Linked DNA regions of Macaca fascicularis. The protein of the gene in region 5 purifies or fractionates together with the protein of the main gene of each other region. This does not show direct contact. Links are inferred from orthologs where the notes say so. Each region holds a gene or a part of one and is shown on either strand. Other genes may lie near its edges.

Region 1 (5,222 bases), on a different chromosome or scaffold from region 5:
TTTAAATGAAAAGCTGAGCGTCCTGTGTTTCAGTATCTGCCCTCACAGCGTGCCTGAATTGTACTTACACTTAGGCGTGACAAATGAGAGCCAGGTGTGTGTGTGCTCACGCAGTGTGAGATCAGCCCGGGGGGTGAGTGCTCACCGGACTGGCATACATGAGCTTGTGGCAGCAGAGACAAGTGAAAGCATGCCATTTTCTGCATGGTTCCCAGTGGTGACAGATAGGTGTTTGGCTTTAGAACAGGCAAAACCACCTGTTTTCCAGTCTGTAATGAAAAAACTGTGTAATAACGTGCGATTTGTACAATTACCAGCGTCTCTACCATAGTGATCAGATTGCATTTGTTGCCAAACATCTTGATCAGGGAAGTGGGGTAAGAGAGGAAATATTTAGCAGTGACCACTGTCAAGCTGGCAAGACCTCTAGCGCTTCCATTCTGTCCCTTTGCTTCAGGAAGGGGAAGGGAAGCCACTCCACCGGATGTGCGGTGCTGTGAGGACCTTTCTGAAATTGGGCAAAGAGCTCAGCCCTTTGAGTCCATGAGAAATAAAACTGACCAGATGTTAAGTAGCAGGTCAGGACCACAGTGAAAGATCCTGCAGACTCTCCCTTGGATTTCTGCAGATGGGCGAGTCGTGCCTTCAAGGCACCACGTCTTACAGAGATCCTCTGAAAAAGGCCGAGCAGCGTATGCCTAGGATGACGCAGAAATTGACATGTGCCCTCTTGATAAGTGTTCTGAAATAAAGCGCTAAATAGCAAAAGACTAGGCTGGCAAACTCAATCAGATGGGCTTAGAGATGACAGTTCCAGAACAGTATCCGCAAGGGACAGGGCACCAGGTGAACTGGCCGTGTAATCCATGTGTCTGGTTCTTCATTGGATTTAAGAAACACTGTGGAGGCTGGGTGCAGTGACTCACGCCTATAATCCCAGCACTTTGGGTGGATCATCTGAGGTCAGGAGTTCAAGACCAGCCTGACCAGCATGGCAAAACCCTGTCACTACTAAAAACAGAAATTAGCTGGGTTTGGTGGCATGTGCCTGCGGTCCCAGCTACTTGGGAGGCTGAGGCAGGAGAATTGCTTGAACCTAGGAGGTGGGGGTTGCAGTGAGCCGAGGTTGCACCACTGCACTTCAGCCTGGTGACAGTGAGATTCCGTCTCAAAAAAAAAAAAGAGAAACAGTGGAATCTTGTGGAATCTTGTAACAAAACCCATCACTGCTACAGCTGTGGAAACTGGGGATACTCAGTCGTGTTTTCTGGAGAGTTTTTGATGGTCTCTGTCTTCCCTGGAATTGACAGGCCTCACGCATTGTGCATCAGCAGCAATGTTTATGGTGAAAAATGGCAACGGGACCGCTTGCATAATGGCCAACTTCTCTGCTGCCTTCTCAGTGAACTACGACACCAAGAGTGGCCCTAAGGTAGGAAACACCAGGGCACTTCGTGCTTCCCTTGTGTGTGTGGAAAGATGATTTTTAACATTTCAACCAAGTCTTTGAAAAATGGCCCCATATAAACATGGTACTTTTCCTATCTGCGTATTTCCTTCTGGCGTTGTCAGTAACCTGTGTTGTCATGTGCCATAGCCACAGGCACGGTAACAAACTTCTATATGTGCTGCACCTCACCGTTTATCATGAACTTTTTTTTTTTTGAGACGGAGTCTCACTCTGTCGCCTATGCTGGAGTGCAGTGGCGCGATCTCCGCTCACTGCAAACTCTGCCTGCCGGGTTCATGCCATTCTCCTGCCTCAGCCTCCCGAGTAGCTGGGACTACAGGCACTCGCCACTACGCCCGGCTAATTTTTTGTATTTTTAGTAGAGTTGTGGTTTCACCATGTTAGCCAGGATGGTCTCGATCACCTGACCTCGTGATCCGCCCGCCTCAGCCTCCCAATGAACTGGGATTACAGGCATGAGTCACTGCGTCTGGCCTGTCATGAACATTTTTCTAGTTTTCTTTTTTTTCTTTTTTTGAGACGGAATCTCGCTTTGTCGCCCAGGCTGGAGTACAGTGGCATGATCTGAGCTCACCACAACCTTGGCCGTCTCCTGGGTTCAAGCAGTTCTCCTGCTTAGCCTCCTGAGTAGCTGGAACTGCAGGTGCCCACCACTATGCCTGGCTGATTTTTGTATTTTTGGTAGAGATGGGGTTTCACCGTGTTGGCCAGGATGGTCTCAAACTCCTGACCTCAAGTGATCTGCCTGCCTCGGCCTCCCAAAGTGTTGGAATTACAGGGGTGAGCCACCGCTCCCAGCTCTAGTTTTCTTCATGATTGTCTTTTATGATCATAATGTAATACTTTATTATGTTAGTTCACCATAATTTGTTAACACACTCCCCTATCAGTAATTAAGTCTTGAATCTTTTTCATGCTCTGTGAATGTGACTTTGATTTATTTATTTTTTGAGACAGAGTCTCACTCTGTTGCCCAGGTTGGAGTGCAGTGGCGCAGTCTCGGTTCACTGCAAGCTCCGCCTCCCGCTTTCACGCCATTCTCCTGCCTCAGCCTCCTGAGTAGCTGGGACTACAGGCGCCTGCCACCTTGCCCGGCCAATTTTTTGTATTTTTAGTAGAGATGGGGTTTCACCGTGTTAGCCAGGATGGTCTCGATCTCCTGACCTTGTGATCCGCCCGCCTCAGCCTCCCAAAGTGCTGGGATTACAGGCGTGAGCCACCGCACCCGGCCTGATTTACTTTAGAGAAATTATTATACTCCAAGAAATGTATATAAATGGTTGTTTGACATGCAGTTCTACAAAGACTGTACTAGTTTGATTAAAATGTTCCTTAGTAGTTTTGTTGAAATGGCTTTGTGTTTATTTGGGATGATTAAAGCCTTTTGTAATAACAGAATATTTTAAAAATCCAAGACAGCGAGATCTTATCTCTTTAAAAAAAAAAAAAAAAAGCCAGACATGGTGGAGCGTGCCTGTGATCCCAGCTACTTGGGAGGCTGAGGTGGGAGCATTGATTGAGCCTGTGAGGTCGAGGCTGCAGTGAGCTATGATCTTGCCACTGCACTCCAGCCTGGGTGACAGAGCAAGACCATCTCAAAAAAAAAAAAAAAAAGTCCAGTCTCAAATTTGACAAGTATGTCAAAGCCTTTTTTCTTTTTTCTGAGACAGAGTCAAACTCTGTCCCCCAGGCGGCTGGAGTACAGTGCCAAGATCTCGGCTTACTGTATCCTCCGCCTCCCAGGTTTGACTCAGTCTCGTGCCTCAGCCTCCTCAGTAGCTGGGACTACAGGTGCGTGCCACCATGGCCAGCTAATTATTTGTATTTTTAGTAGAGATGGGTTTCACTATGTTGGCCAGGCTGGTCTTAAACTCCTGGCCTCAAGTGATCCACCCACCTTGGCCTCCCACAGTGCTGGGATTACAGGCGGGCCCTACCGTACCTGGCCTCCAAGCACTTTTTTTTTTTTTTTTTTTTTGAGAGTTTTGCTCTTGTCACCCAGGCTGGAGTGCAGTGGTGCGGTCTTGGCTCACAGCAACCTCTGCCTCCTGGGTTCAAGCAATTCTCCTGCCTCAGCCTTCCGAGTAGCTGGGTTTACAGGCATGTGCCCAGCTAATTTTTGTATTTTTAGTAGAGATAGGGTTTCTCCACATTGGTCAGGCTGGTCTCGAACTCCTGACCTCAGGTAATCTGCCCACCTCGGCCTCCCAAAGTGCTGGGATTACAGGCGTGCCCCAACGTACCTGGTCTCCAAGCACTTTTTATTTAATTTCTACATCACTTTTTTAATGTTTGGTTTTGGTGGTTGGATTTTTAAAATATTTTGTTGTAAATTATGTTTCACAAATGAGGTCACCTTATGCTGTTATGCATGTCTTTATCACCTCTGTAGTTTCGTGGTGTTTTTTTGGCCCACATTAGTATACTGCTTCACTGTAGTTCATTTGACCTATCTGGTTTATTTTGATGAACATTAGGTGGTTTTCCAGTTGCTTGTTTTGCTTATAATAGTAAATTTAAACATTTCTGCTATGAACACTTCCTTTGTTTAAGGAAACATTATTTAAATGAATATTTCTATAGCAAAAAAGTAGTGATAGCTTTTCTCAAATATATATCTCACCCTGAAACCGGTTTGAATTATTTCAATTTCAAGACGCTTTAAATTCTGTTATATTAACAGAAAATTTATGGGGTTGTTTTGTTCTGTTTAGAGACAGGGTCTTGCTGTGTTGCCCAGGCTGGAGTGCAGTGGTGCAATCGTAGTTCACTGCAGCCTCAAACCTAGGCTCAAGCGATTCTCCTGCCTCAGCCTCCTGAGTAGCTGGGACTACAGGCAGATGCCACCACAATTAGTTTATTTTGTTTTTGTAGAGATGGGGTCTTGCTATGTTGCCCAGGCTGGTCTTGAACTCTTGGGCTCAAGTAGTCCCCCCACCTCAGCCTCCCAGAGTGTTGGGATTACACGCGTGAGCCACCGTGCCCAGCTGCAAATTTTTGATTATAAGAATTATTAAGTCAACTGTCTCTTATACCGGAAATACTTTTCAGTCTGTTACTGACATGTAATACTAACCTTTCTTTGGTTTATATTAAAAATGAGTATCTCAGTAGTGATAGCTGGAAATGGAGTATAAGTTTATATCAGACTTACAGAAAATCTCTCTTTGAACTTTTAATAACCTGTATCCCAATTGGGTTATATTTAATTGTGTTTATTCTAGAACATGACCTTTGACCTGCCATCAGATGCCAAAGTAGTGCTCAACAGCAGCTCCTGTGGCAAAGAGAACACTTCTGACCCCAGCCTCGTGATCGCTTTTGGAAGAGGACAGACACTAACCCTCAATTTCACAAGAAATGCAACTCGTTACAGCGTCCAGCTCATGAGTTTTGTTTATAACTTGTCAGACACACACCTTTTCCCCAATGCAAGCTCCAAAGGTAAGAACCAAAGTGGGCCGATTATAAAGTGATAGAAAATTGGGTTGGAGGATTGTCTAAAGTTACTTTTACCTGAGAATTACAGGTTGGGTGTAGTGGCTCACACCTGTAATCCTAGTATTTTGGGAGGCTGAGGCAGACAGATCACTTGAGGTCAGGAGTTTGAGACCAGCCTGGCCAACATTGCAAAACACTGTCTCTACTAAAAATACTAAAATAAGCCAGGTGCGGTGGCAGGCACCTGTAATCCTAGCTACTCGGGAGGCTGAGGCAGGAGAATCGCTTGAACCCAGGAGGCAGAGGTTGC
Region 2 (5,892 bases), on a different chromosome or scaffold from region 5:
CAGGTGCAGCCCGTGCGTTTGCTGTATATCGCAGCGGGCAGGTTAGCGCCCCAGGCCTAGGCCAGCCTCTCCAGGGGGCAGCTCTCTTCCCCAGTGGGAAGGTGCCTGTGTGTGTGAGGGAGGGAGAGGAGACAGAGGCAGAGGGGCTGGAACTAGTAGACATGGCAGACGGTGTGGATGCTGCAGGGCACAGGAAAGGAAGCTCAGGCACAAAAAGTGAGACTCAGCAGAAAGGAGCTTTGGGTGGAGAGCAGCAGGGACTGCTGACAATTAATAAACCATTTCCCACTCTGAGGATCTCTGTCACCCGTGAGGGAAGTTCCCGTGTTTCACAAGCACAGCCTCCCTGGACCTCCCCAGGGGCGTAACGGTATCAGGCACTGTGTTCTACCGTCCTGGTGACCTGGGCCTGCTGAGGGGAAAAAGAGTGATCACAGTGGGCACTCTAGTGGGCTCACCTCACAGAAGAGTGTGTCATAGACATTCCAGACAGTCTCCAGTGTCAGGTCTGTAAGCCCTGTCTCGTTGGCCACCATGTCCAGAAATTGCTATGAAAAATGGATCAGGATCTCAGTGCTTTTGTGGGGAAAAGACAGTGTGGCGACCTCCACCTCTGCCCCTACTCACTGCATTCCGAGAACTCTCGTTCTGATACTCTGGTGTCTTCCGGGTCTCATTCTGCAGCTGCTCATAACGGGGACATGGGCCCAACGGGAACTTCAGCAGCTGTAGAGCGAAGCAGGGAAACAGGCAGTGGGAAAAGGAGCCTGGCATCAGCAGGCACACGGCCACAGCTGTCCCCTCACCATCCCAGGGAAGGGCTGGCCACTCTCACCCTGTCCTCAGTGATGGGCACAGTGTGCACAGGGATAGGCTGCCACGAGATGTTCGGGTTGAAGCGCTGCATCCCGTTGGGAGGGAAGAGTCCAGCCAGGTTGGCCTCAGCACTCATGAGAGTCCGGTCAAAGTCTGTGCTTCGCACATAAACCTGCAGAGATAGCAACACAAGTCACGTGTGTGTGTGTGTGTGTGCGCGCGCGCGCGTGCGCGCACGTGTGGTGGGGAAGTTTTGGTCACCCTGGAGTCGTGTGTGTGTGCGCACCTGCGCACGTGCGTGTGTGGTGGGGAAGTTGTGGTCACCCTGAAGTGGAGCCGCGTGTGTGTGTGTGTGTGTGTGTGTGGTGGGAAGTCCTGGTCACCCCAAAGTGGAGCCCCGGGGGAGAACCTGTTCTTGAGGATCACCCAGCAAACTGTAAACCTACCATGCATCTGGCCCTCACCCCCCTCTGGCCTCTGGCCTTCCCCATCCCCCAAACACTCCACTGGGGGTTGTCACCACTCTGTGAAGAACTCCTGTGGGAATGGCCTTAATTGAATACCCCTTTCTCCCAGTCAAAAGTGCTGAGTCAATCAGTAAGGCTCTCTGGTCTGTCTGGTTTCATAACAACACCTCTCTCCTTGTCTAGATCAGGGTCCTTGGGGCAGAAACTGGCTCCAGTGATGACCCTTAGAGACCAGGGAGAAAAAATAAGATAAAGGTCTGGGCCTGGTGTCTCACGCCTATAAACCCAGCACTTTGGGAGGCCAATGCAGGAGGATCGCTTCAGGCCAGGAGCTCGAGACCAGCCTGGGCAACATAGTGAGACCCTGTCTCTATAAAAAATGACCCAGGTGTGGCGGGCACCAGCTACTTGGGAGGCTGAGGCAGGAGGATCACTTGAGCCTAGGAGTTTGAGGCTGCAGTGAGCTATGATTAAGTCATTGTGCTACAGTTTGGGTGACAGAGTGAGACCCCTTTAAAATATACGTATATATTTTAGGCCAGGCACAGTGGCTCATGCCTGTAATCCCAGCACTTTAGGAGGCCGAGGCGGGCAGATCAGCTGAGGTCAGGAGTTCGAGACTAGCCTGGCCAACATGGTTAAATCCTGTCTCTACTAAAAATACAAAAATTAGCTAGGCATGGTGGCATACACCTATAATCCCAGCTACTCGGGAGGCTGAGACAGGAGAATCGCTTGAACCCAGGAGGCGGAGGTTGCAGTGAGCCAAGATCATGTCACTGCACTCCAGCCTGGGCAACACAGCAAGACTCCATCTCAAAATAAATAAATAAATAAATAAACAATATTTTGAAGAGCTTATTCAGAGATAGTGGCTCATGAAAAGGGAGGAGGAAACTGGGGAAGGACAAGCTCAGGACAGAGCTGGGCCTTAAGGGAACAATTAACAATATCTAGGGACTCTTGACACAGCTGAGGCTGACAGTGGTAACCAGAGGAATAGCTTCCCCCATCCCTGGGGTAGGGCAAGGACTCAAGGAGCAGGCACACTCGCCAGTCCTCCCTGATGTGCCCTAGGAACGTAGCGTGACCTGGCGTGGCAGACAGGGCTCGAAGACCTCATCTTGATCAAGGAAAGACAAGCCCTATCTACGTGCATCTTCCCCGCTGTCTTTCATCTTGGCCCTGTCTGGTTTATCATCAGATACCCCCACAACATTCTAAGCTCCATGAAGACAGAGATCATATCTGTATGGTGCACCACTGAATGCGAAGTGCTAGCATAGTTCTTGGCCTTTAATGGGTACTCAATAAATGTCTTGGATGGAAAGCCTGTGATTTCAAAGAGTCAGAAACCACTTTGCCAGGCCCGCCCGTAAGGCTGAATTTGGATGCTTAATCAGGTTTGCCTCTTCCTAGCCAAGCAGGGGCAACTCAGCTCCTAGGGTTTTGTTCCAGACAGCTCTCAGATGCCTTTTCCTGTAGTTGTAACCAAAAATACAAGAAGGAGGCCAGAGTGCCCAGCCTCAGCCTTAGGCTCCCTGAGAGCAAAAGATGAGGGCAGCATACCCCATTCCCCTTGCCTCTGGAGCTCCCAAGCTTACCTCTTGCCGGTGATAAGAGGTGTTTAGGAAGCCATGATAGCGCTGCCGCAGGGCCTGGCCCAGCTCCCAGTGCTGTAGCATCCCCTCCTGTGGGCAAACCCAAAAGTTAAGAGGGTCTAGAGGGAAGGAGTGGCTCACAAGCCCCATGGGGTTTAGGCCCTGTTGCTTTCCAGGTTTACCCTTTGCTGGAGTCAATTAATCTGATCCCAGAAGTCTTTCATTAAGTGGCCAGTCATGCACGGCAATATCATGGGCACAGAGGTTAAGGTTATGAAATCTGGTCAAAGTCAGCACCCATATGGGAAAAGGCAGTTTAGTAAGGCCCCAAGTTCTGTAGCCTGCTCTAGACATCACTCATTCTACAGCTCATCCTGAGGAAAGGCTGGCTTCTGACCCACCTTGGTTAATTGACCAAACCCCTGGGGCCATTCTTCTTCCTGGTAGGGGTCCTTGGGATATGTCTTCACTGGTGAACGGTCTCCATGGCGGTACAGCTGAGGGAAGAAAATGGTTTGTCTATAGGTCAGAAGCATCTCGATAGGGACCCAGAGCCTACCTTTTGCCCCATGTTAGGGAAGGAAGTCTCATTCCCTTTGGGAAGCCTACTCGCTGCAAAAGACCCCAGTTAGGAGTCAGTCACTTCTTCCAGATTCCAGACACTCTAACTTGGCTAAGCAATGCCACTGGAGACCACAGGCAAAGCCAAGGTACAGGTGGTAAGGGAAAAGAGAAGTGAAAGCAACATATGTGGTGGGGACAACTGGGGAAAAAAGACAACCAAAGGCTTCTTTAGGGATGAGTCTTAACCATTCAACTACTTCCCTGTCTCAGGGCAGACTCACCCCGACCTATTCGGTCACCCTGACCCCCATAACCCAGGGCTCCACGTCAATCCTGAACCCAGTCTCCCAACTACACAGGCCAGTCGTCCTCTCCTAAACCAGCTGTTCCTTCCCAAGATCCCCGACCCCCACCAGCTGGCCTTTGCCCTTCTAGCTTCAGGGAACTCTTTGGTGACCCCATTTCTCATTACCAAGGTAACGAAGCGCAGACTCCGGGCCTGGGTGGGCGGCATCACCATCAGGTTCGCGCCGAGAAGGAGCTGGAGGAGAGCCGCACGGCTCCAGCCGGACCGCTTGCCCGCCATCACCGTTGTAATCTATGCAGCAAAGAAGCTGGAACCCGCTGGGTGGCACCTGCAAGCAGCCGCCCGGACGCACTCGTAAGGACACACGCCGGAAGTGCGCTCGCCGCCATCTTACTTAGGGACGAGCTGGGGTTGGGGGAGAAGGCGCAATCTCGGTGGGAATGCGTGCAGGAGGGTCGCGACCTGGCTGTGGCGGGGGAGCGTACGCATGTAGCCCGACGTGGCGAGGCAGACAGGTCTCGAAGACCTCATCTTGATCAAGAAGGCATTAAGTTCGCGTTTGCCTCTGCTAGGAGAAATCCCTTACCAAGGTGGCGCTTGCAGTGGGCGGGACCATGTCCTGGAAAGCGAGCGTCCCCTCCAGCCGGGGTGCTTCCGGGCTTGACCCCATAGCTAGAGCGGGTGCAGAGTTGAGGCGAGGGACGGAAAAGCAGAGGTCGCTTCTCTCCATGCCCCTGCCTTTGGGGTGGATTGAGCCCTGGCCCTGTTTTCTAGGAGACGTTTTGCTTGGGGTGCAGGGCATAGTATATAAACAACCCTTTGGATTTCCTGTGTCCTTGAGGTTGCCTCCAGTCTAGCCTACCGTTCCTGCCCCGCACGAAGCTTCAGTAGCCCTTTCACTTTCCCTTCCAGTCCTTTCCCTGACCTCCCTCCCCTCCACTTCCAAGTTTTAGTTAATTAGAGTCAAGACGTCATGCCTCTTCCCAAAGGAGTTGTGTTGCACAGGATGTTCAGACTTTCCAAACCCAAAGCACTGAATCCCTAGGGGAGGAATTTCAGACCAGTGGGGAGGTATTTTGAGGTAAGGGGCAGGCGCATATCATAAAGTGGGAGTACATGCGGTTTACACAGAATCAGTGGCCCTCTTGGCATTGACCATTAGGATTCAGGTGCAGCTAGTTTGGCCTCAGGACTTTGTGACTAATATGACGGTTGCAGAAGGTCAGATCGTAGGTCCTGGGGATGTTTTGATTCAGATCTGCCTACTGGAAGCAAATCTCCTCAGATCTTTGGGAAACAAAACTGATCAGGCTTGGGCTGGGCACCGTGGTTCCCCTGTAATCCCAGCACTTTGAGAGGCCGAGGCAGGCAGATCACCTGAGGTCAGGAGTTCGAAACCAGCCTGGCCAACGTGGCGAAAACCCATCTCTACTAAAAATAATAATAATTTAAAAATAGCTGGGTGTGGTGGCGTGCTCCTGTAATCCCAGCTACTCAGGAGGCTGAGGCAGGAGAATCGCTTGAACTCGGAAGGTGGAGGTTGCAGTGAGCCGAGATAACACCACTGCACTCCAGCCTGTGCGACAAAGCAAGACTCTGTCTCAACAAAAAAAAAACCTGATTAGGCTTGGTGTGGTTGCTCACGTTTGTAATCCCAGCACTTTGGGAGGCTAGGGTGGGAAGATTGCTTGAGCCCAGGAGTTCGAGACCAGCCTGAGCAGCTTACGAAGAGCTCATCGCTACAGAAAAAAAAAAAAGTTTAAAAATTAGCTGGGTGTGGTGGCACACACCTGTGGTCCTAGGTCCTCAGGAGGCTGAGGTGGGAGGATCACCTTGAGCCTGGGAGGTTGAGGCTAAAGTGAGCCATCATGGTGCGACTGCATTCCAGTCTGGACGGCAGAGCAAGACTGTGTCTCAAAAAAACAAAAAGAAAAGAAAAGAAAGATCAGAATTAGCTGTCCTTATTTTGCCCTAGGACTCCAGATTCAATTATTTATATATACTTCAGGATTTAAACTTTGCTTCCAAAGTTGTTGTGGAGGAGGCTGAGAAGCAAATAGAGTAAGAGCTGAAGCCTGGGTAGCCAAATAGTTCTTAACCTTGTTTAATCACAAGCTGACATGAAAATTTTGCACCT
Region 3 (5,222 bases), on a different chromosome or scaffold from region 5:
TTCCAAAGGTGGCCTGACCATGGCTCACCCATGCTGAAGCAGTGGCAGCAGGTGGGGACCCTGGGGGAGAACCCTTTTCCCAGAAGGAAGGGCCCCCCTATGCTCCTCCTAGAGGGCAGCCAGCACCTGCTGGGGACACCCACAGAGCTGCTCGCTGCGTGGTGCCGGGGACCCACACCCACCCAAGTCACCTCCCCAGGGACTCCCAGGCCCCTGGGCACCATGCCCCCTCTCCACCATCAGCAACCCGGGACCAGGACCACACATGCCCATCACCAGGTCCAGGGACCAACGGGCCAACTGAACCAAGAGGAACTGCCATGACCCCCGAACTGGGTCTGTTCTCATAGGAAGGAGGCCCAGCTGCCAAGGTCCCAGGACCCACAGCCTGGCCTGAGCTCCTCCCACTGGGAGACCCCGGCCAAACAGCTTTCTCTGCGATCTGCTTACTCCTCTGCAGAAGGGCGGCCAACCCCTGCCTCCCGGACACCCTGAGGTCAGAGGTCAGGAGCTCTGGCCACAGCAGCAGGGAGGGGGCGGCACTGAGTGGGGGTGCCCGGGAGGCTCCCAGCCCAGCCCCGCCCTGCCTCCCAACAACGCTGAGCTAGGAGAGCAGGAGGGGAGAGGGAACCCACGCGCCCACCTGTTCAGGTAGAAGGAGAAGATGTTCTGGTCCACCAGCTTCTGCTGCATCAGGTTGTCGAAGACGGGCAGCACGTTGTTGACGGAGATGCGGGGATAGGCCATGCCCAGGATGCCGTCGAACTTGGCTGCGATGAAGGTGATGCCTGGCTGCTTGATGGCCTCCCCGAAGACCTGCCTCTCCACTTTGACACCGCCCAGGGCAGCGGTTGATGACGCTGACTTGCAGGGCACCTGCAGGCCAGGGCAGCGTCAGTGGGTCGCAGACAGGCTGAGCCCTACACCCCTCTCTGAGCATGAGGCTGCGCTACAAAACCCAGCTCAATGGATACCCCTCATCTCACACACGATGGGGCCCAGAGGGCCCAGCAGAAAGGGCTGGAAACGGTGAGCTGAACACAGCGGGGCATGGGGACGCGGGGTGAGGTGGAGCCCTCTTCGTGGGAGACTTTGGGGCTTAGTTTTAAGGAGATGGGAACCAGGCAGGAGCACAGACGGGGAGACCCCTTGCCCCACTCCCTGCTCTGACCTCTTGTTCCCACCACCACCAACAAGCAGGTCCTGCTCCTGCTCCTGCTCCTGCCCTCAGCCTTGGGAACAAGAGACAACCCGGGCCAGGAGCCCGAGAGACGGGGAAGCCGCCGACCCCAACCCAGACTCACAGCCGTGCTGCCCCCGTCTCCCTCTCTGACTGTCCCCTCCCCCAGCCCTGGATGAGGCTGCAGAAAGAGAACAGGCCAGAGCAGGATGTGGGAAGGGAACGACAGCTTGAGGCTGACACGGGGCGGAGGAGGCGGAAGAGGACAGACGGGGCAATTTCCCGTTCAGGCTGAGCGGGGCCCAGAGGAGAGGGCTCTGAGGAGCCCCTGTACAGACCTGGACTCCAGCCCAGCACGGACTGTTAGGAGCAGGTCCAGCTGGAGGAAGGGGCCCTCTTCCCAGGTCCCTTGGCCTGCAGGGGGGCTCTGCTGCCCTCCTGGCCTGCTCCGGAGCTGGGGGCTGTGTCACCGTCCCACTACTCCTGAACCCCTTGCGGCCTGGCCCACCCCCAGCAGACAGCTCCGAGGTGAGAATTCACTGAGGCCCAGGCAGGGTGACAAGGGCCAGCTCGCCCTCTCCTTGGGCAGGGAGCAGCTCTGCACAGGGCCCTGAGGATGGTGGAGCGCAGGCAGGGCCCCCAACAGCCACTGCTGCTCCCCCTCCCTTACCCTCCCAGGCTCCTGCAGGTGACTCTCTGCCAGCAGCCCCCACAGCGGGTTCCTGGCAATCCTCCCAACCCCAAGCCTCCCCAACCCCTTGGCCTGCTGCAAGGATCCTGTGCAGCCCCAGGCCCAGCCCTCAACACCTGCTGGCACCTCAAACCCAATGTGCCAAAAAAAGCCCAATCAATCTGCCTTGTCCTCCCTCCCACTCACTGTGGCCTGACTCCGGGGACCCCTGCCCCTGCAGCCCCCAGGTTCGAGGCTCTCTCTCCAGCCTGCACATGACCAGGCCCATTCCCAGGCCCCTCCTCATCCTGCTGACCGCCCCGGCCACCTGAGGGCTGGGGTCGGCCTGGGATCACCGCGCCCTCCCTTTCAACCACATACCCACGGTGGGTGAACCGCACACCCTGGCACCCTCGAGTCCCGGGAAAGGCCCCAGAGGGACTCACCGACACAGTGTCCTGGCTCAGGTATCCGGAGAGGCTGCCCGAGCCGTAGTGGATGGCAAATGAGGTGCCATTCTTCACGTAGGTGCTGGACTTGTCGCTGTTGTATTTGTGGTGGAGCCCTGCCCCGGGCGAGAAGAGGGCCCGCCGGTCATCCCGCAGCCCACGCCACGGCCACGGCCCTCCCATCCCCCTGCAGTCTACCATGGAGCCCGCTCCCCCCAAGCTGCCTCCCCAGGGTGGGATTTGGAGGGGATCCGAGGCCCACCATCGTGCCAGAGCCCCAGGACTGTGGGCTGTGACCCCGGGCCTCCCTCCCAGCCACAGCTGGCTCCCTCCGCGGCCACCCCAGCCCCAGCGCTGCTGAGAGCAAGACCACAGCTGGTGGTTCACCCAGAAAGCCAGTGCCTGGAGCAGGGTGGAGGGCCGGCCTGGCTCATGGGGCCAAGAGGTGGGAGAAGTGCATTGCCCAAGGATTCCTGAGGCAGCCCTGTGGCGACATCCCAAAAGGGCAGGACCTGGGAGACGGGGCCGGGGTACGTGACTCACAGCAAGCGATGTCCAGCAGTTTGCAGTGGATGGAGGGGACCCACAGGTTGGAGGAGCCCGTGTCGAAGACGACCGTGAAGCACTGGGGAGGCGTCCCGATGCCGATCTCCCCGTAGTACTGGGCCTGGCAGGGGACAGGGTCCGTCAGGGATGGGGAGGGGGCCCTCTCTCCCCACCGGGCCTCAGAAGGCCCGGCTGTCCCCAGAGCCAAACCCTGAAGCCTGAAGGCCCATGCTGGAGGGACGAGCATCATGGGGCCCACAGCTGCCAACAGCCACCTACTCCAACCGGCTCAGCCTGCAGGGAAGATGGGCCAGGTCCCCAGCCCTCAGTCCTAATGCCCACAGGTGCTTGGGGTCTCCAGACCTCTGGGTTCTGCCACCTACCCCTGCTCGACACATGGTGAGGCTGAGGACTTCCCCACGGAAAAGACAAGTCCGGAGGTCAATCCAGGGTGGGGACAGATGTGGCCCTCGGCCTGAGCCCCAGGTACAGGAAGGGCCTGCCTGGAAGACTCCCCTGGTGGCCTGGGGTCCAGGGCCTGAGAAGGGAAGTGACTTCCTCCCCAGGTTGGGACCGTATCAGGGTCTGATTCTGGGTGTCTCAGTGCCTGCCCTGCCCTCCAGGGTGAACCCCAAGCCTGGAGGGCTTCCAGGCAGAGGGGTTCAGCTGGTCAAGGGGAGAAGGTAAGCCTTAGTCACTGCCTGCCCAGCAACCCTTCCTTAATGGCCCAGGGCCTCAGTTCTCCCATGTGTACACAAGGATAGCAGGGACAGGTGGGGGTGCTGACTCAGGGATCAGGCAAGTACAAGGGGTCCCACGCCCACTGAGCATCTCAGGAGGCAGAGAGTAAGAGGGTCCTGGAGTTTGGGGTCGCCTGGGCGCCCGCTTCCCCCAGGAATAGAGCCTGGGCCACTGTCAGCCACCAGATTCCTGGCACCAGCCCAGTCCGATGTTTCTCCGACCGCCTGGCTTCACAGAGCAGCAGCAGCTGCTGACTCATGGCCCCACAGAAGTGACCACTGGCGGGGGGACACTCAGCAAATCTCCATGTGCGCGTGTGCATGTGTGTGCCTCGGCGTGCTCTCGCGCTAGGGCGATCAGGAACTGGCCGGTCGGGACCAGGCACACGGCACCCGGTTCCCCCCAGGCCCCCTCCCCACAACCCGCCCAGTCACATGCCTATGAGTCTTGGGCTTCCTGTCACAGCCAGGACTCGGGCCAAGCAGGACAGAGGGCAAGGACCCCCCGCCACAGTGGGCCAGAGCCCCGAGGCTGGACAGCAGGCCCTGGCCTCGAACTGACCCCATAGAGCTGGGACAAGGCTGACCAAGCCCCAGCTTGCTAGGTGGCTTCCAGAGTGCTCCCCTTTGGATCCTGCTTCCCCCTGAAGGAGTCGTGGGCACAGGAGGGGCTGCTGCCAGAGGAAGAAGATGGGGAGGGGCTGGAGAGGGGCCACGAGTCACCATAGGCCTCCTGGCAGGACAGCAATAAAGACAGGCTCCAGGGCAGCCGGCCACACCCAGGCAGACCCAATGACTGCCCCCCGGGCGAGCTGGCACTGAGGCCCAAGGCCACCCTCAATCACCCTCCCAGGCCCGAGATCCTGCAACCACAGGGGCCAGTGGCAGGAGGTCCAGGATGGGGAAGACAGGAGTGTGGCTGAGCCTGGACGTCACCCTGGCCAAGTGAGTCACTCAAACTGTGCCCCTGAGAACAGGAGGCGGGAGTGTCCCCACAGTCCCAGGGAGCTCTCTGGAGAGCAGCTCCGCTCCCAGCAGGGCTAAGACCCCATACTCACGTCCATGTAGTTCTTCAGCACCTCGGGAATGGGCCCCTCGGTCACGGCCGGCATCGCCTGGGAGTACTTCGAGATGGGGCCTTTGGCAATCAGGTCCTCCACAGGGCCCCCCATCTCCGACATGGTCCGGCGGATGGACGTGAACTTGTGCAGCGGGATCCTGTCAACCAGGGGTTGGGGCATATCAGGGAGGTCCTCCCGCCTGCCGGCCGAGGCCGCTAACATTGCACATCCATCTGGAGGCCCCTGGGGAATCTCGAAGTCACCATAGCCAAAACCAAACTCCTGCCTGTCACCTGGAAACTGCTGGCCCACCTCCTCCGTCAGTGAATGGCAACCCATCGCCCCCCCGAGGTTGCACAGGCCACAGTCCTAGGAAGTGGCCACCCACCACCCACCTTGGCCCCACACACCCAACCTGGGGGCCAGTGTGCCCACCCCTCCTCTCCTCAGCCATTCTAGAGGCTCCAAAGCCCCCAAGGGCCTCCAGTCCTCCCTCTGCACCTGCTCTGGTCTCCTCCAGGATGGTGGCCAGCATGGCTGCTCAGGGTGCTGGCGGGCACCTGTCACTCCTGCCCA
Region 4 (5,823 bases), on a different chromosome or scaffold from region 5:
GCCTCTAAGAATCCTTTTCTGTACTTACTCTAAAGCTGCTGTTTTTAAAAGGTTACGGGTGAAGCTGGGATAGAGTTATAAAGTTACAAAGTCAAACTGGCACAGCTAGAGCACTAATGCTAATAAGACTATAAATTTAGGACAGGTCCTTCTTCATTGGCACCCTGTACAGTACCCAGGCACAGTTCTAGCTACATAGTAGATACTTCGCAAATATTTATTGATCTAGCTACATAGTAGGTACTTTACAAATATTTACTGAGTTTTCAAAAACCTATTCTTGGTATCCATTTTGATACAGAAAAGTAACTTGCGCAAAACCCACCAAGCAACTGCTAAATTCTTGAGAGAAAAAGCCATATGGGAGGACTTTGGGCTCCACACTGAACCAGTAGCCATCAGAAAATGCAGCTGTATAGAAGAATGGTTTCTATTTCATCCTGGAACCTCTTAAAAATCCGATCTAGGTACATTATTAATATTTACTTTTCCAAATCCTGCTCTGAACTTGGAGGTGGAGGGGATCAATCTTGGAAATTTTCCAAGAGGATGAATCTAGTTAGTCCCGATCAATAAATGGCAAACTAGCAGATGAGCTGATGGGTTCTTTTATGTGCTTCTTTTTGCATGTTTATTTTCTGCAATGAGTAAGCACTGCTTTTGTAAAAACAAAACAAAAAAGCTTTCATTAAAAAACAAAAAAAATTTAATGACATGAAAGCCAACAAGTAGGACAACTATTATTTTTTTCACTTTCCCCAAACAATAGCAGTGTTGTATTTGTGCACAGATTCAACTGGCAGGGAACTACTGATTAACAGATGCCTTGGTCAGATGTGTTCTAGTCACTGATAAGGTACTTTCCATTGTAAACAATCCTTTCTTAGGGTCAGTTGGCCCTCAGTAAGTGCTCCAAGGGACAGTTAAGGCTTCGAATTAAGTATTCAAGCAAAGCCTGCCTCAAGGCCACCTTTCAGAAGTGCTACAGAAGAGTTTCCTGCACCCTATGAACAGTTGGACTACCAAACGTTTTGGTGTCAGGACCCCTTTACTTTCTTATCCACTGAGGACTTCACAGAGGTTTATGTGAGTCATATGTATTGGTATTTAGAGTATTAGAAATTAAAACTGAGAAATGAATAAAATATAAGAACATCAGAGTGGTGAGGTCATCACATGTTATGTAGCCACTGGTAAACTCCGCTGTACACTGGTGAGAGGATGAGCGTGAAAAGGACAAAGAACAAATACTTTCTTTTTTTTTGAGATGGAGTTTCGCTCTTGTTGCCCAGGCTGGAGTGCAGTGGCGCAATTTTGGCTCGCCACAACCTCCACCTCCCGGGTTCAAGCGATTTTCCTGCCTTGGCCTCCCAGGTAGCTGGGATTACAGACATGTGCCACGACACTCGGCTAATTTTTGTATTTTTAGTAGAGACTGGGTTTCACCACGTTGGTCAGACTGGTCTTGAACTCCTGATCTCAGGTGATCCACCCGCCTCAGCCTCCCAGCGTGCTGGGATTGCAGGCGTGAGCCACTGTGCCCAGCCGAAAAGGACAAAAACCTTCTTAACATTATTCCAAAGGTTTGATTTCATAGACCCATGAAAAGGTCCTTGAGAGTCACTGAATTAGATAATCAAGAACCCTTCCAATACTATGGTTTTTGAGCAGGGTTTATCAATGACATTTTCAGGAAGATAATTGTTTGTTGTGAGGGGCTGCCCTGTGCTTAGTTAGGATGTTTAGCAGCATCCTTGGCCTCTACCCACTAGATGCTAAAAGCAATCCCCCAGTTGTGACAACCAAAAATGTCTCCAAAAGTTGCCAAATGTCCCCTGGTGGAGAATGACTATTCCAGGGTGTTGATTTTATTCTACTGAAATGTGAATTACAAAATGTATACCTCTCACTGCTTTCTCAGACCCCTAATAAGTCTATTTCTTCCCCACTTCCATCTGGGTCTGTTCTTTATGTTATTTTATTAAGTCACAAATAGCAAGAGCAGGTGGGTAGCAAAAAGCACAGCATGAATCAAGTCAGGAAGAGACACTAGTCAAAGTTCATCTTCAGGCATTAAAGCTGTTAGGGACCCACTGCCTATTAGGGCACAACACAATCAGCGAACATTCACCCAGCCATTTATTTATTTATTTATTTAGAGACACAGTTTCACTCTTGTCACCCAGGCTGGAGTGTAATGGCACGATCTCGGCTCACTGCAACCTCCGCCTCCTGGGTTCAAGCGATTCTCCTGCCTCAGCCTCCCAAGTAGCTGGGAGTACAGGCATGTGCCACGACGCCTGGCTAATTTTTGTATTTTTAGTAGAGACGGGGTTTCACCATGTTGGCCAGGCCGGTCTCGAATTCCTGACCTCAGGTGAGGCCACCCGCCTCGGCCTCCTAAAGTGCTGGGATTACAGACGTGAGCCACCGCGCCCGGCCCCATCCAGCCATTCTAATGAGGCCCTGGTAACAACCCAATCCTTAGCAAGTTGTCTACCTGCTCCCTGCACCCCCCCAAAAAATGAGGTAATAGGCTAGTGTGATGGGGAAGAAAGAAAACAAGAGACTCTGAAGGCAAAGAGGTAGTCTACCAAACTCAGTCTATCAAAACCTCTCATCTGGGAGGCCCTCCTAACTGAAACGTCTGGGGATTTTTTTGTCAGCGTCTGGCTGGGAGGAAGTAGCAAAACTGGGAGAAAATCGACATCCTTAATACCTCCAAGTCAGATGTGCACTCCCCATCAAAGTTCCCACCGAACCCCTTAGTCTCCAGAGGCTGGGTCCAAGTTTTCTTTCCTGGAAATTGCCCCAGCTACCTTAGGCTCCTTCGCCCTTAAAACTATGACTACCAAACTCAAACCCAGCATCACTCCTAATCTCTTGAATCACCCCTTCTTCACAGCCTCAAATTCCAACCTTCAAAATGCCCAACCCTGTCCCTGCCCCTGCCCCTCAGGCTCTACTGTCCTATCTGTTCCATCTGTCCCCCACCCACACTCTTCCCCCAAGCTACTCCAGGCAGGCATGGTCTCCTCTCTTAATTTCCTATATCACCCCATAGTTTTTCCACCATCTTCAAAACTCTTCCCTGATCTCAGCAAACCAGGACTCTCCTAATTGTCTCTGGCGCCCAAAATCTGCATGTACCACCCTCCTACGCTCACTCCTCAGTGTTTTCCCCAAGTTACTCTTTCCACCCTGACCCTCTCCACGCTTCACTCCTCCCAGCCTACTCCCTCGGCGTCCACCCCCCCGTTACCGGCCCCTTCTTACTCTCCTGGGCCCTTCTTCCCCGCCATCCCTCTGTCAGGCCTTCTCTAGGTCACCGCTCGCCTCCTCGGGCCAATCGCCGCCGCCCAGTGTCAGTTGCTGAGCCTCTCACCCCCCGCCCCCTCGGACCAGTCTTTCAGGTTGTAGCTTTGAACTGGCGCCCCGGGCCCAGGCGGACAGACTAATCGGGAGGGCCCGACAACTCACCCAGGACGAGGCAGACCAGAACTAGCCCTGAGCCCGGAACCGGGAAGAGGCGGAAGCACACCATGACCCCGCAGAGCAGGCGACGGCGGCAGCGACGGCGGTGGTACAACAACAGCTGCAACACCAGGGAAAAGGCTCGCTGGACCTGGGTCAAGAGCACGGGTGACCACCGACCACAGCCTTGCAAAAGCCAGGAATCGGCGCTTCAGCGCGAGTCATAAGACTAGGGGCGGGGCTCTTTCTTGCTTACAGCCAATCTCCGCGCTTGAAAGCGGCGAGAGGGGTGGTGATGTAGAGGCCGGTGGGCGGGGCAACCACGCCCTGGCTTTTTGGTTCACAACCCTTCCTATGCGCCTAAGAGATATGCGCGGACGGCATTTTCTTTTTCTTTTTCTGTCTTTTTTTTTTTTTTTTTAAATTTTACTTTAAGTTCTGGGATACATGTGCAGAATGTGCAGCTTTGTTACATAGGTATACATGTGCCATGGTGGTTTGCTGCACCTATCAACCCTTCATCTAGGTTTTAAGCCCCACATGCATTAGGTATTTCTCCTAATGCTCTCCCTCCCCTTGGCCCCCACCCCCTGACATGCCCCCGTGTGTGTTGTTGCCCTCCCTGTGTCCATGTGTTCTCATTGTTCAACTCCCACTTATAAGTAAGAACATGCAGTGTTTGGTTTTCTGTTCCTGTGTTAGTTTGCTGAGGATGATGGCTTCCAGCTTCATCCATGTCCCTGCAAAGGACACGATCTCATTTTTTTTTTTTATGGCAGCATAGTATTCCATGGTATATATGTGCCACGTTTTCTTTATCCAGTCTATCACTGATGGGCATTTGGGTTGGTTCCAAGTCTTTGCTGTTGTAAATAGTGCTGCAATAAACATACGTGTGCACACGTCAAACGGTATTTCTGGTTCTAGATTTTTGAGGAATCGCCCCACTGTCTTCCACAACAGCTGAACTAATTTACATTCCCACCAACAGCGTAAAAGCATTCCTATTTTTCCTCAGCCTCGCCAGCATCTATTGTTTCCTGACTTTTTAATAATCGCCATTCTGACTGGCGTGAAATGGTATCTCATTGTGGTTTTGATTTGCATTTCTCTAATGACCAGTGATGATGAGCTTTTTTTCATGTTGTTGGCCACATAAATGTCTTTTTTGGGAAGTGTCTGTTCATATCCTTTACCCACTTTTTTGATGGGGTTGTTTTTTCTTGTAAATTTGTTTAAGTTCCTTGTAGATTCTGGATATTAGACCTTTGTTAGATGGGTAGATTGCAAAAATTTTCTCCCATTCTGCAGGTTGCCTGTTCACTCTAATGCTAGTTTCTTTTGATGCGCAGAAGCTCTTTTAATTCGATCCCATTTGTCAATTTTGACTTTTGTTGCAATTGCTCTTGGTGTTTTAGTCATGAAGTCTTTGCCCATGCCTATGGCGGACGGTATTTTCTAAGGCTAAGGAGAGAGGAGGAACTTTTGAGGGCCGTAGATAGTAGACTATTTCCGTTTTGGCTCCTTGACAAAGAAGAGAAAAATTTTGCGGGCACAAAAACGGTTGCTAGGCATCTCAAACGTAATACATACAAAAATAATACATGCTTATTCTCCGAACACTGTTGTTACCTATGCAGTTCATGCTGTGAGATGGACGAGGGAACCTAGAGGATAGTATGGAGTCACGGACCATTGGAACAAGACATGATCTTGAAGTTCACCTAGTTACAGCACCCTGTTCTCAGATGGGGGAATTGAGCTCAGAAACAAGAAGCATATTTTTTAAAACACAGGAAGAAAAAAAAAAATGAGAGAAATAAAACAGAAGAATAAAGGGGGAAAAATAGAGATCTCTATTCCCACTATTAACACTATTATATATATTTACACATATATATACACACACCCACATCTACACTTCCAGGTGTTTTTCCTATGTACATACACACAAATATTCTGTAATGAGTTAATACTAAGCATACTGTTTGCTATACTTGATAGATGAACAGACAAAACCTAAAATATTCAACAGATGAAAGCATTTAAAAATGTCGAGTTGGAATAAAGCACTGATTCTCAAGTGTTAGTTTCCAAAAGAACCATCTGGTTTTTTTTTGTTTGTTTGTTTGTTTTAACATACGGATTCCTGTACCTCATTCCCCAGAGATTCTGAAACAGTAGGTCTGTGGCAGTCTTATGAATCTCTTCTTTAACAAACACCCCAAGTGATTCTGATTCTGTGGTCCATGGACCACACTTTGAGAAACACTAAAAGAGAGCTTCAAAATCATCTAGTCCAGGAGATTTTAATCTGGAGTCTATGTATGAGTTTAGGCAGGATGGGAG
Region 5 (5,901 bases):
TCACCCTTGATTTTTCAGAGAACATCCTCTCCTCCCACTCATCATTTTTCCTGGCAGTCAAGGTCTCCTACTGAAGTGCACCTCTCTGTCCGACAACCTCACTCCCCAGCTCCACCAATCTCCTTCTATTAAACTTGTAAAGTTCAGAATTCTATTTCCTGGTTTATACCAGGTAATCACAGATTATTCCTACCCTAAAGTGTAAGCAAGCTCTTTAGCCTATCTTTTCCCTTTAGACTTTATTTTGAAAAATTTCAAACTGCAGAGGAAAAAATTTGCTGGCCGGGAGCAAATTTTATTACTAAAAATACAAAAATTAGCCAGGTGTGGTGGTGGGTGCCTGTAATCCCAGCTACTTGAGAGGTTGAGGCAGGAGAATTGCTTGAACCCGGGAGATGGTGGCTGCAGTGAGCTAAGACCACGCCACTGCACTCCAGCCTGGGCCACAGAGCAAGACTCTGTCTCAAAAGAAAAAAAAAAAATTGCTGAACTACTTACATAACGTATTTTTAATATATTATTAAAACGGGTCTGGCATGGTGGCTCTTGCCTGTAATCCCAGCACTTTGGGAAGCTGAGGCAGGAGAATCAGTTGAGACCAGGAATTCAAGACCAGCCTATAGTTAACCCTGTCTTTACAAACAAAAAACAAACAAAAATGATTATGTATGTTAATAATGCCTTAATAAATCTCATTTAGAAAGGGCGCGGTGGCTCAAGCCTGTAATCCCAGCACTTTGGGAGGCCGAGATGGGCGGATCACGAGGTCAGGAGATCGAGACCATCCTGGCTAACTCGGTGAAACCCCGTCTCTACTAAGAAATACAAAAAATAGCCGGGCGAGGTGGCAGCGCCTGTAGTCCCAGCTACTCGGGAGGCTGAGGCCGGAGAATGGCGTGAACCCGGGAGGCGGAGCTTGCAGTGAGCTGAGATCCGGCCACTGCACTCCAGCCTGGGCTACAGAGCGAGACTCCGTCTCAAAAAAAAAAAAAAAAAAAAAAAAAGAAAGAAATGACTAACATTTGCTTAGTGCTTTGTAGAGACAACACTGTAGAAAGAGCATTACATGCATTATTTTATTTAATAGAAAATCTCTGGCCAGGCGCAGTGGCTCACGCCTGTAATCCCAGCACTTTGGGAGGCCGAGGTGGGCAGATCACTTGAGGTCAGGGGTTTGAGACCAGCCTGGCCAACATAGTGAAACCCTATCTTTACTAAAAATACAAAAATTAGGACCGGGCATGGTGGCTCTCGCCTGTAATCCCAGCACTTTGGGAGGCCGATGAGGGCGGATCTCGAGGTCAGGAGATTGAGGCCATCCTGGCTAACAAGGTGAAACCCCGTCTCTCCTGAAAATACAAAAAACTAGCTGGGCGTGGTGGTGCACACCTGTAGTCCCAGCTACTTGGGAGGCTGAGGCAGGGGAATCACTTGAACCCAGCAGGTGGAGGTTGCAGTGAGCCAAGATGGCGCCACTGCACTCCAGCCTGGCGCCAGAGCAAAACTCCATCTCCCCCGCCCCACCAAAAAAATGTATGAGTGCATACATTCTAACTGATATCAAAGTTCTCTCCGGGAGCTGGTAACAGAAAATTTATTTCCTTGTTTGCTTACATTTTTACAATCATGAACTTTTCAGAAAATGTCATTTTAGTTTTCTCTTTTTGAAATTCAATTTTAAAAGAAACAAGGGCCCAGTGGCTCACGCCTGTAATCTCAGTACTTTGAGAGGCTGAGGTGGGAGAACTGGCCAGGAGGCCAAGAGTTCGAGACTACAGTGAGCCACGGTCGTGCTAGGCCACTCCAGCGTGGGCGACAGAGCGAGACTCTGTCTTAATAAACAAACGCCGTAAACATTCCGAAGTGCTTTGTTTCCCATTGGAGAAATCTATAAATATGTCATGGAAATTGGAATCTTTATTCTCCTCCTGTCCCTCTGCTGGTGGAGGATTTTACCGCTGGTTCTACCTAGGCGTAGAGCTGTGTCTGCAAACAAAAAAACTAGGCAAGACCGAAAAAAATTAATGTTCTTAAAATATGCAAGTGGAGCCCGAAAATAGTTAAATTCTTGGACTAGGAAGGCATCCTTTAATGCCCAGGTCTCTGGGTAAGAGCGCACCGAGCCGCTGCGGCCAGAAGCCCCAGGGACCGAAGTGGTTCAGGCGGTAGCCAGCACCCACAGTCCAGGTCTTCTGGGCCGGCACGCCCCTCCCACCATCTCAGCCAATCGGAGCTAAGGGGGCGGGGATGGGCCAGCCGGAGGCGGGACGGACGCAGGAGGGGGTGTGTCTGGGGCGGGGCCTGGCAGGTCCCAGAAGGTGGCAATTTTCGCGGCCAGGGGCTTCTAGGTCCCGGTGGAGAGGCCGGGCTGGCCGGGGCTTCGGCCTCCGGCGTCGGGAAATGGCGGCGGGGGGCAGGATGGAGGACGTGAGTGCACGGAGGTGGCGGGCGGCTGGCCCCGGAATCCCCTTTTTCCTGTGCCGGGGCGCACGGGGCGGAGACTCAAAGAGGGAAGCCACCCTTGGCGAGTGCGGCCGCGGCGGGAGGGGGCGCCGCCTGTGCCGGGGAGGCCTGGGCGCGGGGCTATGGGAGGGCGCCGGCGCCCTTGGGATCCTCGACACGCTAACTCCGGGCTAATTTTCCTGGTGGAGGCTGGGGTGGGGTCCTGGGCGGTGGGCGCGCGGCTCTGGGGGTCCCAGGCTGGCGCCCAGCCCACGTGCGGGTTACGTCTTTGATCCCGGAACTGGCAGCTTCACGTGATGCGCGCCTGGCCTGACAGCCTTTCCTCCCCGCGAGTCTCTGGGAGCTGGGCCACTGGGTTCCGCTCGGACGCCCCAGGGGCGCAGGGGGCGAATCTCCCTTCCTGGTGGGGTCCCTTGCCTTGGCTCTAGAGGCTGTGGACTTGGAGTGACAGCGACGCTCGGGCCGGGCGCCAGCGTCCCGCAGACCTGTGGCTATCATCTCCTGGAAACCCATACGAGAGAAAAAGTGTCATGTGCTGTTTTGAATTTAGCATGGTAGGAATGCAGAGGTTTTTAAATCTTTGATAGATTCAAACCAGATTACCAAAAAAACCAGTGGCCTAGTTTACAGCGTGTATAGTACAGAATGGTAGCATAATTACAAAAATCTTATTTCTTTGCTTCAGTGTCGTAAGGTGTTTTTAGGGGAAACATGTATGTATGCCCAGAATTAACTGGAGTTTCCACTGGAAAGTAATAAAATTTTTCCTCTTGAGAAATGCAAAGTTGACAGTTATATTAAAGCACTAATTTGGGTTAATAAATTAGTAGGAATATTACTGTGATCCTATCACTGAATGAGCTGCATCAGGAAAAGGAAGAGAAACACGAAACAGTTCCAGCACTTCGGTAGCTTAGATTCTTGTGCAGTGAATCTTGATGAAATAAAGACCAAACAATTTCTAATGAAACTAAAATTTTCTGTTTTTTCCAGTTGAGAAAATGGAAAATTAACTGTAAGACCTGTAAGTAGATTTGAGACTCATATATATTTAAAGCAAAATTCATTGTTTCTGAGTTTTTAAGGCTGAGCTTCATGAGCTGACAATGTATGGAAAAAAACGAATACGTAAGAGGAAAATGAGAGACTCTTAGAAAAACACAGGCAGTAAGTGCTTCTTGGTTGATGCTAAGCTGCTCTAGGGTTCTTGGATCTGTAGCTTTTAGTTGTAGGATGCATACAGTACTAGAAATCTGCTTCCTCAAACACTGGAGACTGGGGGCGGTCTGGAAGACTCATGCCTGTAATCCCAGCACTTTGAGAGGCTGAGGCAGGCAGATTACCCGAAGTCAGGAGTTTGAGACCAGTCTGACCAACATGGCAAAACCCTGTCTCCACTAAAAATACAAAAATCAGCCAGGTGTGGTGGTGGGGGCCTGTAATCCCAGATACTGGGGAGGCAGGAGAATCGCTTGAACCCAGAAGGCAGAGATCAGAGATTGCAGTGAGCCAAGATCGCATCACTGCACTCCAGCCTGGGCGACAGAGTGAGACTCTGTCTCAAAAATAAAAATAAATAAAAATTAATTAGAGATTAATGTTTTGCCACCAACCACATATTGGAGTCACTTTAGATCTGAGTAAGTTGCCTGCTTTTGGTATTTCGTAGACATGATTTCTAGCCTTCAGGGAAAAGCTAAAAATTCTGGACCATGCCTTAGTTACAGATACTTAAATGAGTTGAGTCAAAGACTTTGTGTTAGTAAGGATTCATTGTTTGCAGGCAGTGAAACCAACTCTGACTAATTTAAGAAAAAGATTTATTTGAAAGGCTATAGGGCGAGTATATGCCAAGGCCTCTGAAAGGACCCAAACAAGGGCATCTCAAGGCACTGAAGTGACAGGAGTCCTTTTCAGGGTCTACCCTGGAATGAATCTGCCTAAACCATGATCTTTCTTCTTTTTTTGTATGGAGTTTCGCCCTTGTTGCCCAGGTTGGAGTGCAATGGTGCGATCTCGGCTCACTGCAACTTCCGCCTCCCGGGTTCAAGTGATTCTCCTGCCTCAGCCTCCCAAGTAGCTGGGATTACAGACATGCGCCACCATACCTGGCTAATTTTGTATTTTTAGTAGAGACGGGGTTTCTCCATTTTGGTCAGGCTGGTCTCGAACTCCCGGCCTCAGGTGATCCGCCTGCCTTGACCTCCCAAAGTGCTGAGATTACAGGCGTGAGCCACTGCACCTGACCTCATGATCTTTCTTTTACTGTTCATGGAGAGAGTTGGATTCACCCAACTGTTTTTCGTTCCATGACCACTCCTAGACCAGAGGAGGAGGAAGGGTATTGAAGGATGTTTCCACTAAGACTTAATGCAGAAGTAGACAGTGGGTCCTCAAAGGAAATAGAGTTACTGTCACAGAAGAGGGAAGAGGTACCATGTGGGCAAAAACAACGGATATATGTAGTTAATAATGGAAATGGAAAAAACATTTGACTTCAGGAGTCCTCTTCCCCTCAGCCTTCACTTGCAGATGGTAAGTTCATAGAATGACTGGGTGCTGTTTATATGGTTATGCTGCATATTTCCTATAGGATTCATTGGAAAGTAAATACTCCTAAGTGACATAGAGAAGAACCATAGTATAGTCCCCAACTCCTTCAGTGTAGTTAGGAAAAACAAAAGATACACACATGAAAAGGAAAACAATATAAGGCAGCGTAAGAAATATTCCAAATGAGTATTATGGGCAATATGTTTTATAGGAGTTTAAAGCAGAAGGAAAACACTTAACAGGGCCAGTTTTATAGAGAACATAAACTTGGTTAAGACCTTGAAAGATGCATAGAATTCTGAAAAAAGATAGGGGAGGATATTTGTAGGACTCTATAGAAAGCTCATTTAGGCGAGAGAAGAGGGTGCATGAAAGTAATATAGTAGGAAATAAAGTAGATTATTGTCTTATAGTGAAGGTTTCAATGTTAGCTTTGTTTAAATGTCCCAGGTCTGGCCAGGTGTGGTGGCTCACGCCTGTAATCCCAGCACTTTGGGAGGCTGAGGTGGGCGGATCACCTGAGGTCAGGAGTTTGAGACCAGTCTGGCCAACATGGCGAAACCCAGTACCTACTAAAAATACAAAAATTACCCGGGCATGGTGGCACGTGCCTGTAATCCCAACCTGTCGGGAGGCTGAGGCAGGAGAATCGCTTGAACCTGGGAGGCAGAGGTTGCAGTGAGCCAAGATCACACCATTGCACTCCAGCCTGGGCAACAAGAGTGAAATTCTGTCCCAAAAGTAAATAAATAAATAAAAATGTCCCAGGTCTGAAGCATACAAGGAAGTTGAGCAGTCTTTCATTCTCTCAACACACATATTGAACACTTTAGCACCTGCTATGTATCAAGTGTTAAAAGCACAAAGGACATAATATAAAAGAGT

The links.
Region 1: the proteins of TMEM192 (region 5) and LAMP1 purify together in Homo sapiens (affinity purification with mass spectrometry; 3 studies listed by BioGRID and IntAct, with this or other methods). This does not show direct contact. The link is inferred for Macaca fascicularis from reciprocal best matches to the Homo sapiens genes TMEM192 and LAMP1.
Region 2: the proteins of TMEM192 (region 5) and ACP2 purify together in Homo sapiens (affinity purification with mass spectrometry; 3 studies listed by BioGRID and IntAct, with this or other methods). This does not show direct contact. The link is inferred for Macaca fascicularis from reciprocal best matches to the Homo sapiens genes TMEM192 and ACP2.
Region 3: the proteins of TMEM192 (region 5) and CTSD purify together in Homo sapiens (affinity purification with western blotting; 3 studies listed by BioGRID, with this or other methods). This does not show direct contact. The link is inferred for Macaca fascicularis from reciprocal best matches to the Homo sapiens genes TMEM192 and CTSD.
Region 4: the proteins of TMEM192 (region 5) and LAMP2 purify together in Homo sapiens (affinity purification with western blotting; 5 studies listed by BioGRID and IntAct, with this or other methods). This does not show direct contact. The link is inferred for Macaca fascicularis from reciprocal best matches to the Homo sapiens genes TMEM192 and LAMP2.

Annotation. Positions count from the first base shown.
Region 1 is NC_088391.1:103,727,065-103,732,286, forward strand, and holds part of LAMP1 (lysosome-associated membrane glycoprotein 1), read left to right. Parts: intron 1-1,310; coding exon 1,311-1,432; intron 1,433-4,695; coding exon 4,696-4,915; intron 4,916-5,222. UniProt on the Homo sapiens protein: Lysosomal membrane glycoprotein which plays an important role in lysosome biogenesis, lysosomal pH regulation, autophagy and cholesterol homeostasis.
Region 2 is NC_088388.1:18,594,982-18,600,873, reverse strand, and holds the start of ACP2 (lysosomal acid phosphatase), read right to left. Parts: upstream 4,049-5,892; 5' UTR 4,035-4,048; coding exon 3,921-4,034; intron 3,382-3,920; coding exon 3,286-3,381; intron 2,975-3,285; coding exon 2,888-2,974; intron 989-2,887; coding exon 836-988; intron 727-835; coding exon 628-726; intron 549-627; coding exon 459-548; intron 22-458; coding exon 1-21.
Region 3 is NC_088388.1:1,693,446-1,698,667, forward strand, and holds part of CTSD (cathepsin D), read right to left. Parts: intron 4,804-5,222; coding exon 4,644-4,803; intron 2,967-4,643; coding exon 2,843-2,966; intron 2,416-2,842; coding exon 2,297-2,415; intron 877-2,296; coding exon 644-876; intron 1-643. UniProt on the Homo sapiens protein: Acid protease active in intracellular protein breakdown. Plays a role in APP processing following cleavage and activation by ADAM30 which leads to APP degradation.
Region 4 is NC_088395.1:126,742,625-126,748,447, forward strand, and holds the start of LAMP2 (lysosome-associated membrane glycoprotein 2), read right to left. Parts: upstream 3,673-5,823; 5' UTR 3,545-3,672; coding exon 3,481-3,544; intron 1-3,480. UniProt on the Homo sapiens protein: Lysosomal membrane glycoprotein which plays an important role in lysosome biogenesis, lysosomal pH regulation and autophagy.
Region 5 is NC_088379.1:170,008,920-170,014,820, reverse strand, and holds the start of TMEM192 (transmembrane protein 192), read left to right. Parts: upstream 1-2,243; 5' UTR 2,244-2,247; coding exon 2,248-2,427; intron 2,428-2,891; coding exon 2,892-3,017; intron 3,018-5,901.